Linked DNA regions of Alligator mississippiensis. The protein of the gene in region 1 purifies or fractionates together with the protein of each later gene. This does not show direct contact. Links are inferred from orthologs where the notes say so. Each region holds a gene or a part of one and is shown in the gene's direction. Other genes may lie near its edges.

Region 1 (7,697 bases):
CCTATCCTTGGATCTGTAGGACTGCTCTTTCCCTGCTCAGTTCTAGCAGCGAAGTAGTGAGCTGCAATTAAATTTAAACTACAATCATTGGACCTCTAAGATAAATCTTCACTGAGGTGACTGGAGCCATTTGCACTACTCCACCCTTTCAGGTCCTTGACAGACTCGAGGAAGAATCACTGTTTTAGGGACCAGGCATCACTTTGAAGTTTTTTTATAGACACAAGGGACAGAGACTTCCTTGGTGGAAGCTGAGATCCTATAGAGTATAAGAGGGCAGTTCAGGGAAAGCAGGAATTAAGCCCATATTCAGGTATGACCCCAGTTCAATTTCTGACGCATGTTATTGCTGTCACACACACAGCTGTATGAAACTGGGGGAAGAATTCCTGATGAATACAAGTGCAAACAAAGTCATGAGAGGCTCCTTGCTTAACTAGACTGTGTGCATGTTGGGAGGGGGCAAGGGGGTGGGAGCGGAGTGGATATGAAGCAGAAAGCTACGGCAGTGATTTTTGGATCAGCTCCCATGGTATCCATCTGAAGTAACTGAGCACGTTATGCCAGTCTAAGGAGTATCTTCTACATTTCATGGGTGTTGGTTGTAGCCATGATGGTCTCAGGACATAGGCAGACAAGGTTCTTTGGGTAAATATGATATCTTTTATTAGACCAACTAAATAGTTGGTAAAATTATTCTTTGCATCTTTCAGGTACAAACACCTGACTCTCCCTCTGCCTGAAGAAGGGTGTTTGTATCCAAAGCTTGCAAAGAACATTTTTTCCAACTATTTAGTTGCTCTAATAAGATATCACATTTACCCAAAGAACCTTGTCAGTCTAAAGAGTAGATGCTTCAAACCAGAGCAGAGACAAGAACTTCCAGTCCGATGTTGTGACCACTAGGGAACAATCTTATACTGGCAGGTAGATGGACTTAGGCCAGGTCTGCACTAAAGATGGGCCACCATAGCATGTTGGCTTACAACAGCCAATACTATTATGTCATTGGAGAGCACACGCACTTGAGTGCCCAGGTTGGTGCCGTGTCTTCAGCCTTTGGGTTGTGCTGGCTATTGCCAAACTGCACCAAGGGTAGGTATCCCAGTGGTACCACCTTCCAATGAAATGCAGTGCAGGGCACTTTTGCAGTGCATTGTGGGATGGTGCTGCAATACCCAGGCAATGGTAGTTACTCAGGGTCAGTGACCTACAATTCTTTTTTTCTTCCTGCTGTGTTTTCCACACTGGGCACGTCTACATGAAATACTAAAAGTGCAGTAGACTGATTCTATTGTGCATTACAGTGAAAACTGCTAATGCAGAGTAGAATTAGTCTTCTGAACATTAGCTTCACTTAATTGACATGCATTGGTGCTACTGCGTAGTAGTGCTTATTACTGTGTATTTAGTGCCTGTTCAGGTATTAAACTTAATGTGCAGTAATTACAGCGCATTGATACATGTGTAGACATGCCCACTGTTGTTTGACATCCCTGAGTTCCTTGTGTTCTTCTTCCTTTACCACTAGCCAGGCTCTTGCACAGGTGACCAGAGCTTGTGCAGTGTTCTACAGATGGGCCACACCATTCTTTTATAGGTGCATAATAATAGAATTGAAAGAGGTAGTTAGCCATGTTAGTCTGAAGTCATGCAGAAGGCAGGGTACATTTTCACCTCATGGATGATCTAAGTAATAACTAAATAATTTAGCTGACCACTATTGCTGTAATAGCTGGGACATGGTAGCTAAGTGGTTAAGGAGTCTTGATACATCTCCAGAGGCATGAGTTCAAGCAGGCACCTGGTCATTCAGGCTGGAGAATCAAAGGCAACCAGACATGTTGCTAACCACTTCACTACTGTGTGTGCCACCGGCTACAGAAGCTAACATGCTTCTAGACTTGGGTGGATCTTTGACATTTTTTACTATTGTGGCAACTGGTGGTTGGATGCAGATGACATGAGACTTTTGGAGGAGAATGAATGAATAATTAAGATTGTCCAACAAACATTTTTCCAGCTTACCTGTGTATGAGTTTTAGGATCAGTTTCCTTCATCCTAGGCAGGAAAATTTGATTCACCTCTCTCTGAGCTAGAAGGGGAATGAACAATCATGTGGGAGTGAGCGTTAATGAGACCTTCCAAATACCTTGTTCTGTTGTCCCAAAGGGGCCTGCTTGGAATCTTCTTTCATTAAAAGACATTTCCCAAATTTGGCAGTAACTGATGGCAAGCTATTTCCCTTCAGGATTTTTTTTTTTTTTTGCCAAGCAGGGAATTATATTAACAATTCTAAAACTTTATTCATGCATCTTAAATGCCTTGGAGGCAGTTAGAGGTCAGCACTAGTCCTATTATCATTGGGTATAAATTGCCTTGTAACTGTAACAGTGATAATTCAAGAATCACATACGAGAATTCCCCAAACCTCCTGACAACAGGAGTCAGTGCAATGTAGTAGATGTATTCAGACTTCAGAGACAAGATCTTCTTGTTTCTCATCAAAGTTGCTTTCCCATTCTGTGCCTCAGTTTCCCCATTTGAAAAAAATAATTCACTTGACCACGCCTGGCTGTTCTGAGGACAGATCAATGACATTTCACACAAACATTAAGTATTAGAAATACTAAGAAATTACTAAGTATCATTATTGTTACTGTTTCATCCATTAACTTGCTGCAACCTAAATTACATAACAAAACTCTGCTAGAGGAAGAATGCTTGAGATAGCAATTTCTTACTGTTGTAAAGACAAGCTCCAGAGAAGCAAATCCCTACTTGGTAGCAGAGGCTCCTTGAGGTAGGCTTAGGCTCTCCAAATTTGAATTGGAAACTAAATAGTTCACATTAAGCTGCACCTGTTAGGTTCAAGTCAGTGTAAATTTGGAGTGCTTTGGCTTAAGTTACTGTGGTTACCTGAACTTTTGATTCCAAACCTAGATCAATAAGAACTTGCATCAGGGCTGAAACTGGGCCCTGAGGCCTGCTTCTCCATGGCCTTGCTCCTTTGCTGTTCTCATTTATGCTGGCACTTTGTACCTGGATTGCACATACATATATGATAACACAAAGGGAAGGCAGAGATACACTGGTAGCAGTCTTTGGTTCTGTTGGCATGTCAGCTTTTTTAAACAAATCAGTCCACAGTTCTGAGTGGGAATTCATCTCCTGCCCAACACATGGGTGAGTCAGCAAGCTCTTTTCTGAGGATAATGAATTATCTACAGAATTTAAGTTTTAGTTTAATAAGAACTGGTTTCTCTCCTTTCAGGTTGTGAAGAAAATCCCTTGAAGATATAGAGTGGCAGTGATTAGGGTAATCAAATATCTAGGCATGGGGGACATGCTGATCTTGACATCTGCCACTAGATAATCTACTTTCTACTACTTGCAGCTTTTAAAGTATCCAGCTTATAAATATTGAACAGAAATGCTAACGTGAGATGCACAGTAAGAGCTGGGAATGATGTGGATTTTGAAGTGTGGAAGACAGAAGTTTGGGTGCCCCTATACTGTACATATTTAAGTTTATACTGTTGACACCTTTGCTAGAAAGGATGGAAAGTCAGCAAAATGGTTTACTTTTAGTCTAATTATGCAACTACCTCGCGGGAAGGTTTTTATATGGCACAAATCTGGAATAGTGAAGAGAGTATAGGCTTGGCCTCAAAGATTAAGTGTGTTGCACTCTAGGTAACCTGTAAAGTTGTCACAGTCACCTGTCCTGGACAATGTAAAATTGTTCTGCCCTGAGTCACAGATCCCTGGATTGCTTTTAAAGTCTGTGTAACATCAGTATTTTGGCAATGCAGCACCACAATACATGGCAAAGGTCTTCATTAACCCGCTGCATTAAGACACCTTGGCACTGTGATTCTTGGTCCTAACAGCATGCCAGCAAACAGTGACTCCGTGATGGTACCATGCTGACATCTGACACACGAGGACATCCGGGTGAGCCTGGGTGATTGCATTTCACCAGCATGTCAGCGAACGACTTGCACGTGATAACCTCATGCCACCGTGCCAGGATTGCGCCTGCTGCTATTGCCCACGAGAATGCAACGCCAGATCCCAACGCTGCAGTTGGTGCCCTTGTGCCAGTGCCCAGCAGCTCCATGCCATGACATCATGCAATGCTGCAAGTCTGTGCAATGATGTCGGGCTCTGTCTGATGAGGTTTTAAAGCAGTTGACGTCGTCTGCACCGCTGGTATTTGGGCAGGTAGCAAATCCGAGAGCAGGGCTCGCTCCTTACCCCCCGCGCGCTCCCCGGGGACGCATTCCAGCAAGGTCACTCAACCTCCCCTTGGCCTGAAACGACTGCAAGGCCAAAAGCGCCCTAGCCCCGCCTCTGAGGCCTGCTCTACGTTTCCCGGCTGGGGCGCCTATTGTGCCACGATCCCTAAAGTGGATGGACTGAACCATTCCACACCCTCTGGGGGGAGAGCCAGCAGACGTAAATCACGAGGACAACTCCCGTTCCCTCTTTCGGGTGCCTGACTGGGCTGGGCTGGGCCATACGGCTCGTCACAGGCAGGGCGGGACGAGCCGGGCCCGGCGCAGCGGAGGCAGGCTCCTGCTTCTTTCCCCCGTCCCGGAGTGGTAGCACCCGAGGTGGGAAAGGCTGCGCATGCGCAGTGCGGGCGGCAGAGCCCGGACGGACGTTGAGAGAACGAGGAGGAAGGAGAGAAAATGGCGTCGACGGGTGAGCGCCGGGGCCGGGCCGGGGCGGCGGGGCCGGGCCAGGCCAGGCCAGGAGAACCCAGGGCAGCCCCGGAGCGCGCCCGCGCGGCGGAGCCGTCCCGCTGCCGGCGGGGCGAGGCGAGGCCGAGCGCGGGACAGAGGCCGCGGCCCCGCCCGAGCGCCCCCCCCTTCCCCCGGTACCGGCCCCCTCCCCCCCGGCGCCGGGGGCGGTTCTGGAAGGTTCCGCGGCGCGGGGGGGCGGACCGGGGTCGCGGGGAGGCCGGCCAGCCGGCCGGCCCCATTGTGTAACGTGCGGCGGGTCTGGCCCGGCCCGGCCACGCGGCCTCCGCAGGGACAGGCCATGCCGTGGCCGCGCCCTCCCGTGCGGGGGTGACCGGGCCGGGCGGGCGGGCGCAGATCTGCTTCGGGGCCGGGGCGCGCCCCCTCCCTTCCCGCCCGCCGTCGCGCCTGGGCTCGGGCGCGGGTCACCTGACCGTCCCCCCGCAGCTCCCCCGCCCCCCGCGGTTGCAGGCCTGTGGCCGCTGCTCGGATGCCTCGGGCGGCGCCTGCCCCGCTGCATCGGGAGCCGCCGGGGCCTGCAGGCAAGGGCTCCCACCCGGGCGGGGGAAAGGGAGCCGTGGGCCCCGTGAGGTTTTGTCTCGCTGGAGCCGAGAGCTCTGGGCAGGGCTGCGCTGGGCACCGAGCTCCAGGCAGGTGCGGTGGTAAGAACAACCCCAGGACGGCAGCAGCTCAGCCTGTGGAAGTGCAGGGGCAGATGCTGCTCTGGTCCCCACGGCCCGGGGTCGGTGGTGCTCGCTGTACGACTTCATCGGAGAGGGTCCAGGAGTTGGTCCAGTTACAGCTTATCTTTTGCTGCCTCTCTGGTGCTCTTTAAGTCGTCTCTGCATTAACATCCCTTTGTGTAATTATTAGGACTGCTAGGACCAGCACTACTTTGGCAGCTTCCCTCTGCAGGTTCAGGCTTTAGTAATATCTACTAATTCATCCTGGCTGGCTGTTACATTTTCATTGGACAAAAAGAAAATTATGTCTAATAAGTTACGTGTTGAAATGAGGTTTATAATGCTGCTTTTTCCTTCCTGCCTTAAAATTGTCCTTAATGTGTTCTGATCCTTGCTCCTTTTCCAATACAGGGGAGCAATTGGCATTAAATAGTTAAAATTCCAACTTTTGAATACAGCTGAATTTTTTTTCTCTTGCAAGAGTTGGGATATACATATACAAATAATTACAGTTCCATTTAAGCAAAAATACAGGCTGAATAACTGTTAGTCTGATGTGATTACATGACAGAAATCTTGTGCAGCGTACACCTTTGAAAATAGGGTTGGCATGTCAGCAACCTTTAATCAGTGTATGATGTTGCTGGGATCACAGAAGAAGTAGGATTAAGTGTTTGGTTATATTAAATACTAGACTAATTTTGAGTTCTTTTATTGAAATTCACATACCAAAATGGAGGAACCTTGTTTCCCCTCCCCCCACCCCCTCTTTAGCCATGAAATGCATTCAGCATTTCATGCCTGGGCTTTCCTAAGCAAATATGCCTTTGACTGCTGAAGTTCAGGTTATGTACAGGAGTGGTGTAGATGAGAAGATGGAGACTGATGTACATGCTAGGATTCAGTATTTTTTGAAGTGTTTGTAAATCTGCTTTGGACTTGCATGGATCTTAAATGCCTTAGCATGGATCAGGTCGTTACAAGTTTTATCCATACAAGCTGTCTAAACCCTGCTAAAAATGCCTTTCAGTGATGTTGCTTGAATTCAACTTGTAGATGTGTAGTCATAGCAGTGGAAGGGTAAATAGATAATACTTTTCTTTGGAGAAAATCAGTTTGCTTGCTTCAAGCAAGCACCTGGTTATCTTTGACTAGCTACACATGTAACCAGGTTATATTTGTCACAGGGCCTCATGACACAATATAGTTCAGTTATGCAGTGTAGGTAGTAGATTAATTCTGCCCTGGTACCTTAATACAGTTCTGTACCTGGCACCTTTTGATAACATTTGGGAGCTTGATTAACTGCCTAGCTGCACTAACCACAAAGGCAGTATTATGATTCTGTCCCCTAATATGGTTTAAGTATTAATTCAGTAGATTTTTGGCACTAGAAGGACCATTCTGGGAGCTGCTAACTACAAAAATAAAACAAAAACCCAACACACTTTCTTCATTCACCAAAGCTTCTTGTTGCCTCATGACTCATCAGAAAGCCTTAATCTACTGCACTAGTTCACCTTTAATTTGAACATCTCAAGTCTTGCAGTTTTTAAAATTAAGTACTGTAAAGGTGCTTTCAGTGGAGACTCAACATATTTTTCTGCTATTAGAATGGTTTTTCATGTTTTTTTTAAGAATATATTAAGTATTTAGTGGGTTTTTTCCTCCCTGTGTTCATCATGGAACTTCTGGCAGATGTTTTTTCTTTTTGTGGAGAAAATCAATGAAGTGTGGGAGAAGAAAATACAAAATGATGTCAGCCTTCTAAATGGACACAAGTTTTATAAAGTAGGTCAGGCTACTTGGACTATCATGTTAAACGAGAGTTAAAGCTAAACCCAACCAGATTGGATTTTCCCAGAATGAAAAGGACTTTCAAGGAAAGTGTCACTGATTAACGCTACCTTAACTCATAAAATAAATTGTCAGATCTTTTTAAAGGCCTTTTTTTCTACTTAATAAATGAAATTGTTCTTTCTGTGGAGGTGCTGTTGTAGCATACCACCATTGTACTGATAAGCCTTATATAACAGAACAGGAGAGAAGATTCAGGTTCTATTAGAAATAAAAGTTTCAGAGAAGGTTTAGCTAAATTAGTGGTGATTTGTTTGTTTTGACAAGTCCACATGTTCTAGTAAATTGAAAGGGGGAATTAATAAAGGTAGACATGTAACATAATATGCTTATTTAGCTAAATTTTGAAGTCCAAAGAGGTAAAAAAGCAAACTAACAAAAACATAATACCTTGGAGGCTGCTAAAAG
Region 2 (7,778 bases), on another chromosome or scaffold:
GATGCCTGAAAATGAAGCCACGTTTGCCATAACTACTGGAGGAATTGGGGATGCCAAAGAATAAGCAGAAACCTGGCAAAAATCTCCATCTGAAAACCGCCCAGATAAAGCCAAAGTATCCAAGGTTACTGACTCCCTGATTACTTTGTATTTTTCAGGCTCAGTTTTGGATATTTAGAATTGGGAGCACACTAGAAAGTTATTAGAAGATCATATTTCAATGATCTAAACAGGAACTGGTTCATGTTATTTCTTTTTTTTAAATGAAATTTGCAGCACTCAGAAATTTACAAAGCAAAGAAACTTGTGACTCGTTCAAGAAATGTCTTCTTTAGGGTTTGTGAGAAGTAAAGCTGTTTTATCTTATGGGCTTAATGGGACCTTTCATAGTTTCTTGGAAAGAGAATGTCTGTGAGATAGGGTGTACACAGCATGGAATAAAACAGCATTGAAACAAACATGGTTTAAAAAAATGAGTGGTTAATACATAGAGGGGAAATGTAGTAGACAGCAACAGGAATACAGGAACTTGCTAGATCTCATTGAGAATAGAAGAATGATAGTTACTTGAAGACAATTTTTAGAAATTTTAATCTTGATTAATTAGTGATTTATTTGTATTTAATTCTGTTTTAGAATATTTAACAATGTTATGTATTTTCATGTTAATGGAAAATACCAAATTAGAACATCTCTTCCCTATGCTTGTGTGCAATACATATACTTTAAGTCAAAACCTGATCACCTGAACTGGCCTATTAACTTTGTTGTGAGAACTTCAGTGGGCAAACTAAACAGGATGTAGCCCAATATTTCAAATAAATAAGCAGAAAACAAAATGTGTAAATTAAAGAAACAGTCCATGTTTAACACTTTGAGGGATTTTTAGCACCTAATAGCAAACCCTCTTTGCAGCCAAAAAAAGAGCCGAATGGGAAGCCAACTTTAGCGCCTGGCTTGAGGGTTTCTGTTCACCGCTAAAAAGGTGCATTTTTAACAGAGTAATTGAAGTACAAGTGCTATCATAAGGCAAAAGCACAGAGATGACAAATCACTTTAGTCTTACTGCAAGGAACTCATTGTGGTTGACTACTCTTTCTTGATGTTGACTTCAATGTATTTGCTTCGCAGTGAGACTACAGTGCGTCCTCTTCACTATAGTATTTACCTTGTGATAGGTCATAGTCATCAATTATTTTGAGGCAAGAAACAAAACTTTTTAAAAAGTTAAGTCAGATCTAGAGAAAAAATAAGGCATACCCTTTTCATGACTTGCTCAGTCAGTCGTTTCCTGACTTTTTCAGAGTGAAAAGAGAGAGATTATTTTATAAACCATTTCTCTTCCCATTCACAGTTACATAATACCTATGTGGCAACACGAACAATTACTTCTTTTTAGGAAAGGAACATTAGAAATATATATAATGTATGGTTTGAATTCTTTAAATGCAGTTCAGGGAAGGCTGCCAGCATCATGTGACCAGTAGATGACAACACACATCCTAAAACACAGGATAAAAGAAGCCCCAGCTTAATGCCAAAGAGGCATCCCTTTGAGTATAACATTGCAGATAGTTTAGATAACTTCTCTATTAAAATGTGGACTCAACCAGAAAACATTTGAGAACCCCTTAGCTACACAGTTTGATCACAAAGTGGACAAAATATAAGATCTTGACATCATATACAAATACTGATGATCAATCAAGAATTTAATAAATGTAACCTGGTCTAGCATGAATTTAAATACCAGGCAGGCCACTCACCTATGTAGCACATAAACAAGCAATAAAATAAGCTTTAATACACGAGAAAAGTGTATTTCCCACTGTTTTATGGATGGGTCAGGGAATAATCTTCAAAATCGCTCTCAGATTTAATCATAGTTCAATTAGTTGTCAAATAGGAGGTAGGCCCATTTTTAGTCTTGAGGAATACCTGACTATTGAATAAAATGATTTCAGTGGAGCATCAACTATTTGGGAAGTCAGTTAACTAGAAAGTGTTGTATTAACAAAACCACCAGTCCACAGTTGGCTTGCTTGTCGGTGAGACAACTGTGTATTGTTTACTAACTAATGTTCTGAGATCTTTAAGCATTACATAATACCATACGTTCATTCCTTGATTTTTTTTTTTAGCTTACTACACAGAACAGTAATTAAAGTGCACTTCATATTGTGGTGTTTGATTATCTAGGACAGGGGCCAAAAGATAAGGCTACCTGGCTGCATCTGGCCTGCAGAACTCCATCATCCAGCTTCCAGTGCTGCTCCTGTGTCCAAATTAACCCATATAGTGCATGCCAGACCGGCCCTGCACATAAGGCCTGGGATGCGCACCACATACCATGCTGGCTTCAGGATCTGCGCTATACCTGGTGCCAGCCCCAGCTCATCCAGTACTGTGCCACACAGGTTCCCTTCCTCTCCCACTGCCTTGTGTCTTCCCCAGCCAGTCCAGGATATGCACCACACACAGTGCAGTCCTAGACCAGTGGTGTGGGCACCGCGTACAGCATGGATTGTGGACCAACTGGACCAGATACCACGTGTGGTACAGATTCCAGACCAATGCCCGGGGGAGGGGCCACCGTGTGCAGCGCAGATCCTAGAACAGACACCGTGGGTACTGGTCTAGTATGGGGGTGAGGGGAGTTCACGGGTCCAATCCTGCAGGTGGACCAGCCCCATGCCACTCATCCAGCCCACGCTGCCTGTTGAGTTTGACACCCCCATCTAGGAAAACTGATTATCCAGAATTATAGTGACACTAATCATTTGGGATAACTGAAGTTCTATTGTATTTGTTTGCAACATCTTTTGTCAGCTTTTACAAAAGTAAGGGCGTAGTATTTGTGTAGGCCAGATCCTCCCTTCTGTGAGCGGGCAAAGACTTCTGCAAAGGACAAGAAACTCACTCTGGATATGTTGTGGGGCAACAAGGCTGCAAAGAGCAGATGTCTCCTAGCGCTCCACCATGCCTTAAAAAAGTGTTTTTTTCTGTGGTTGATATGAAACTGCAGAGCTGATATTACTCCTTCCAGTTCCCCCAACTCTCACACACCTGCCGGGCTTCACAACTTCTACTTGCTACGGCCAAGAGAGCATTGGGCTTTGTGAAGCTACAAGAATCAGAGAAATCCAATACTGTAAGCAACATTAATTTCAGTTACAAACCTATGAAATCCTATTGATTTCAGTGGAATTACACATCTATGACTGAAAGCAGCATTTAACCAATCACTATTACTAGGTTTAACACTTCAAAACATTATCTGACTAATCTCTTTTAAAACATAAACCAGTTAGATGCAACAGAACACTTTTAAGTAGAGCCAGTTCTAGCAGAGACTAAAATAACTTGGATCGTTTATTTTAGCAAAATGGAGGCTGAAAGGATTTGTTTAATCTGTATAAATACATGATAAGGGGGCAGGTAGGGAAACACTTTAAACTAAAGGGCAGCCTTGGTACAAGAGCAAATAGGTATAGAGGGCAAATAAATTCAGTTTGGAAACCAGAAAACCCTAACAATTAGTATAATCTAATTATGGGGCCACTTGGAATTATGGGATGGGGGGGGAGAGCTAATTTTAAAACGGCCCTTGAACAGTGTATATGCTACTGGTGCCGCAATAGGAGGGGGCTCCTCCACTCAACCCTGGAGACTCGGTCCTAGCATATTGCAGAGCATGGCACGGAGAAACATCTGGGCAGTCTAACAGTGCCCTGCACATTATCACTTCACGTAGCTTTTGCCCAGGTTGTCGCGAACGATTCGGAGAACTGCCGGGCCTGCACAGAGGCACATTCATTTAGTCCGGCAGAATCTCTGTCTGCTTTCCATTTCCTGGAAGCAGGGGAAGAGCGAGCGTCATGGCTGCCCCCCGCACTGCACCACGATCGCTCCTGGGAGGCCTGCAGGCCAGAAGTGCAGGCTCGCGCAAGGCCCTGCCTGCTGGGCAGACACGCCGAGCTCGGGGCGGGCTGTGACACTGGGCAGGGGACGGTCTTCCGGCTGCAGAAGAAAGCCGCACAGGGAGACCCCCACCAAGCGCCGCAGCTCCAGCCGCAGCAGACACGGGTTATTGTCTCCGCAGTGCAATGCGGCCTCCTGAAGCTGCAGCCCGCTAAGGCAAAGGGCCTTATTCTTCAACCACGATACGCTGCACCCTGTACGTGGTTTTACTGCCCTTTCCCTCCTGCCCCGCTCCGTTGCCGGCTGAGCGAGACCCGCTGAAAAATTTTACGCAAAATGGACGGCACTTCCTTCCCGCAGCACCTCCAACTCAGAGCCAGCGGCCGCTACACAATCTTCGTACGCCTCGTCCTTACGTAACGTGCCGCTCGGCCAGAGCCGTCTCCCTGCTTCATAGCTAGGTTGTGCGATTGGCACTTTGCGTAGCCGACTTTTAGGAATAGGGAGAACGTTACCTTCCTACGCGAGGCTCTCACTCCGCCGGAGAACCCTACGTCACTTTCTTAAGGGGCCTGTTGTTCTGGCCCGCTTATTCGCAAGGGGCCGCCTGCGTACTCGGAATTCGAGAATAGGCGCTGCTCCTCGGACACGTAGCCTACGTAATGTTCGGGCCGCCCTTAACGTAAGCTGAGCGGGCTGGAGTGGCGGCGGCCATTTTGTGCCGGGAGTCCGGAGAAGGAAGACGCTCGGTGTCCGCGCCCAGCGGGCCCCGCCGTGCCCCGAGCCTTCCGCGGCCCTCGCCAGCCGGTCCCGGCAGGGTCATTCTCTTGCTGCGAAGCCGCTCTTCCCCCCTCGGGAAGCCAGGCGGCTGCCGCCCCGCCGCCGGGATACAGCAGCCGTCGCCGCCCGCCGCGCCGCCCTCCCCTCGCGCGCTCAGCCCCGCTCCCCCCGGCACCATGGACTCCATGCGCAGCTTTGGGGACCGCGGCCGCGACCGTGACCGCGGAGGGTGAGTTTCTTCCCCTCCCCCATCGGGGCCCGCTAGCGGGGAGTCCCCCCCCCCCCCCCCGGCCTGGTGTCCTCCCCCCGGGTCCCCTCGCCTTGGGGGGGGGGGCTGCAGCCTTCGGCCCTGGCCTCGCTCCGCATGGCAACGCCTGGGTGCCCCAGGGAGCCCCCGCCTCTGGGGAAGTGCTCCGAGAGGGTCATGTGGGGCGGCCCGACCAAGCCCTGCTGGGTGACCCTGTCTGCGACTGTGGTAGGTTGTAGGGACTCTCCTAGACGTGGGGAGTAGCTCCCGGTTCAGTCTCCAGCCTGCATCTCTTTCGGCAACCAGGATCTTCTCTGCAAAGGCCACAAAACATTTTGATCCCCTTCTCGTGCAGCTCCCCAGGTCTCGCTTCTCCTGGGACCCAGCTCAGTGTGAGGAGAGTTGGTCTCGTGATTATTCACAACAATCTGGTACCTCCAAAATACTTGATAGGAAATGTGCGAACAAACCCGAATTACCTGGGGAAGGGAAGGGAATTGAAGCAGGACAGTGGTTCTACTGTAAATCTCCACAGAAAGTTAAAACTGCACATAAAATAAGTTTAAATGGCATATAAGAACTTGGCTTCTGAGAAATGAGGAAACACCTTTATTTTTCCTTCCTTGAAAACTGAAGACTGGGGGGGGCGGGGAGGGGGGTGTAGATTGGTAAGAAGGAAATGAATGGCCTGCTTGCTACACTTGCGTTTACTTTCTCCTCCTGCCTTGGTGAGATTCAGGGGATTTTTTTTTCTTGTGTACATTGAAGTGCTTATTAATGTTATCTCCCTCAGAAGAGTAGGGGGAGCACAGAGCTGCACTCTCATTTTATGTTTACATTCTCCACACACATCTTCAGAAATGAAAAGATCCTTTTAGTTACTTGACAGAGAAGCAGGCCTCAGTGTTTTTCCACTCTGAGCTTTCCAGCTGGTTCAAGGCAAGGACATTGGGGTAAACACATCTGCAAGTTGTTGATAGTGGAGGCCTTGCTCTTTTTTGGAGTTGAGTGAATAGTAGTGTGCAGAATTGTACTTAAAGGGCCAGAGTCTGTATCCTTAATACACCCCATTTTGATGTATTTCCATTTGTAACCTCTTATTTGGGGTTAATTTTTTTTCTTGATTCTAAATAGGTATTTATTTTTAAGAATTCTACTTACGAGATTTATTTTTAAGCCATTGTAGGCATAGGACTCACTAATCTAGACTCTTCTGTACTTTTTGGGTATTAGACTGATATTGAAACGCTTTACTTCAATAAATGTTAGATGAGTGGAGTAATCAAAGAAAAGGTTATTTTTATTTAACTAAAATGTTCTGCACCTCTCTTATTTTGAATGCAAGCAGTTTAAAAGACTGTGAAAAGTGCAGAATCAGAAAGGGAGAACTACTTGCCCCTGCCCTCTTTTTAGGGTTCCATTCACACACAGTGTATATTAACCCTGATTTCATTCAGAGTAATCCACTTATTTTGCCATGTGTTGTAATAACAAAAAGTATTTCAGTGATGTATCTTTATGAACTTCATCTTTTAAGATGCAAAGCCATTTTTAATGGTTTGCTGTCATCAAGATGGCACAAGAGGTTTGAAAGATAACAGGCATTTCCCCCAGCAGGGTGGCCAGATTTCAGCTGGATGGTACATTTTGCTTGCTGTCAATTCCCCTTGTATGGTCAGCTGGCTATGCAAGTCTTCCTTACTTCCCATCTTGAACAAACTAGGTGACTTTTTAGGTTTGGAAGTGATGCTGTGCTGCTTTGGCACTAAATAATCTGTTATTTAATTTTGTCTTAGAGGTGGCTTCACTACAGTGGTTGACATGATAGCTGAATATTTAATATCAGTCAGTAGTGTTACTATTGAACTAGTAAAAATGTGGAATAAATCTATGCTAATCAGTAGAAGTACTCCAGGCAAATGTCCAACACGTCTGGTCCTGTGGGCCAGGTGAGTGTCATGGAGCCAGTCCATGGGTAGCATCAGGAGCATGGAGCTGCATCATCTGGCCTGAGGAGTTGAATTTGGTGGCAGTAGTCTTGATAACTATGGCTCCTGAAGCCACAGCAGCAGCTGTGCAGGCCAGATGATTCATAGGTTTCATAGGCATTAGGGCTGGAAGGGACCTTGGAAGATCATCGAGTCTAGCCCCCCGCCCAAAGGGCAGGACGTCAGCTGGGGTCATAGGATCCCAGCAAGATAAGCATCCAGTTTCATCTTGAAGGTGTTCAATGAAGGCGCTTGAACAACCTCCGGTGGCAGGCTGTTCCAGACCTTGGGGGCTCGGACAGTAAAGAAATTCTTCCTTATGTCCAGCCTGAAATGATCTTGTAGTAGTTTGTGACCATTCATCCTCGTCATCCCTTGGGGCGCTCTGGTGAACAAACGTTCCCCTAGATACTGGTGGTCACCCCTGATAAACTTGTAGGTGGCCATCAGATCACCCCTGAGCCTGCGCTTTTCCAGGCTAAAGAGCCCCAGGGCTCTCAGCCTGTCATCGTAGGGTCTGCTTCCCTGACCTCTGATCATGCGCGTGGCTCTTCTCTGGACTCTCTCAAGCTTCTCCACATCCTTTTTGAATTGTGGAGCCCAAAACTGGACGCAGTACTCCAGCTGCGGCCTCACTAAGGCCGAGTACAGGGGGAGAATGACGTTCTGGGGTTTGCTTGAGAAGCATCTATGGATGCAAGCCAGCGTTTTGGTCGCTTTACTAGCCGCAGCATCGCATTGCAGGCTCATGTTCATCTTGTGGTCAGTGATGACCCCCAAGTCTCTTTCTTCCATAGTGCTAACCAACATAGCACTGCCGAGCCTATAAGGATGCTGTGGGT

What was found. Proteins that work in one complex are often made in the same cells at the same time.
Region 2: the proteins of EWSR1 (region 1) and DDX17 purify together in Homo sapiens (affinity purification with mass spectrometry; 3 studies listed by BioGRID, with this or other methods). This does not show direct contact. The link is inferred for Alligator mississippiensis from reciprocal best matches to the Homo sapiens genes EWSR1 and DDX17.

What each region holds. Positions count from the first base shown.
Region 1 is NC_081833.1:26,356,270-26,363,966, forward strand, and holds the start of EWSR1 (RNA-binding protein EWS), read left to right. Parts: upstream 1-4,609; 5' UTR 4,610-4,698; coding exon 4,699-4,711; intron 4,712-7,697. UniProt on the Homo sapiens protein: Binds to ssRNA containing the consensus sequence 5'-AGGUAA-3'. Might normally function as a transcriptional repressor. EWS-fusion-proteins (EFPS) may play a role in the tumorigenic process.
Region 2 is NC_081827.1:99,531,938-99,539,715, forward strand, and holds the start of DDX17 (probable ATP-dependent RNA helicase DDX17), read left to right. Parts: upstream 1-4,675; 5' UTR 4,676-4,877; coding exon 4,878-4,930; intron 4,931-7,778. Other genes in the region: DMC1 (meiotic recombination protein DMC1/LIM15 homolog), read left to right, coding at 1-64. UniProt on the Homo sapiens protein: As an RNA helicase, unwinds RNA and alters RNA structures through ATP binding and hydrolysis.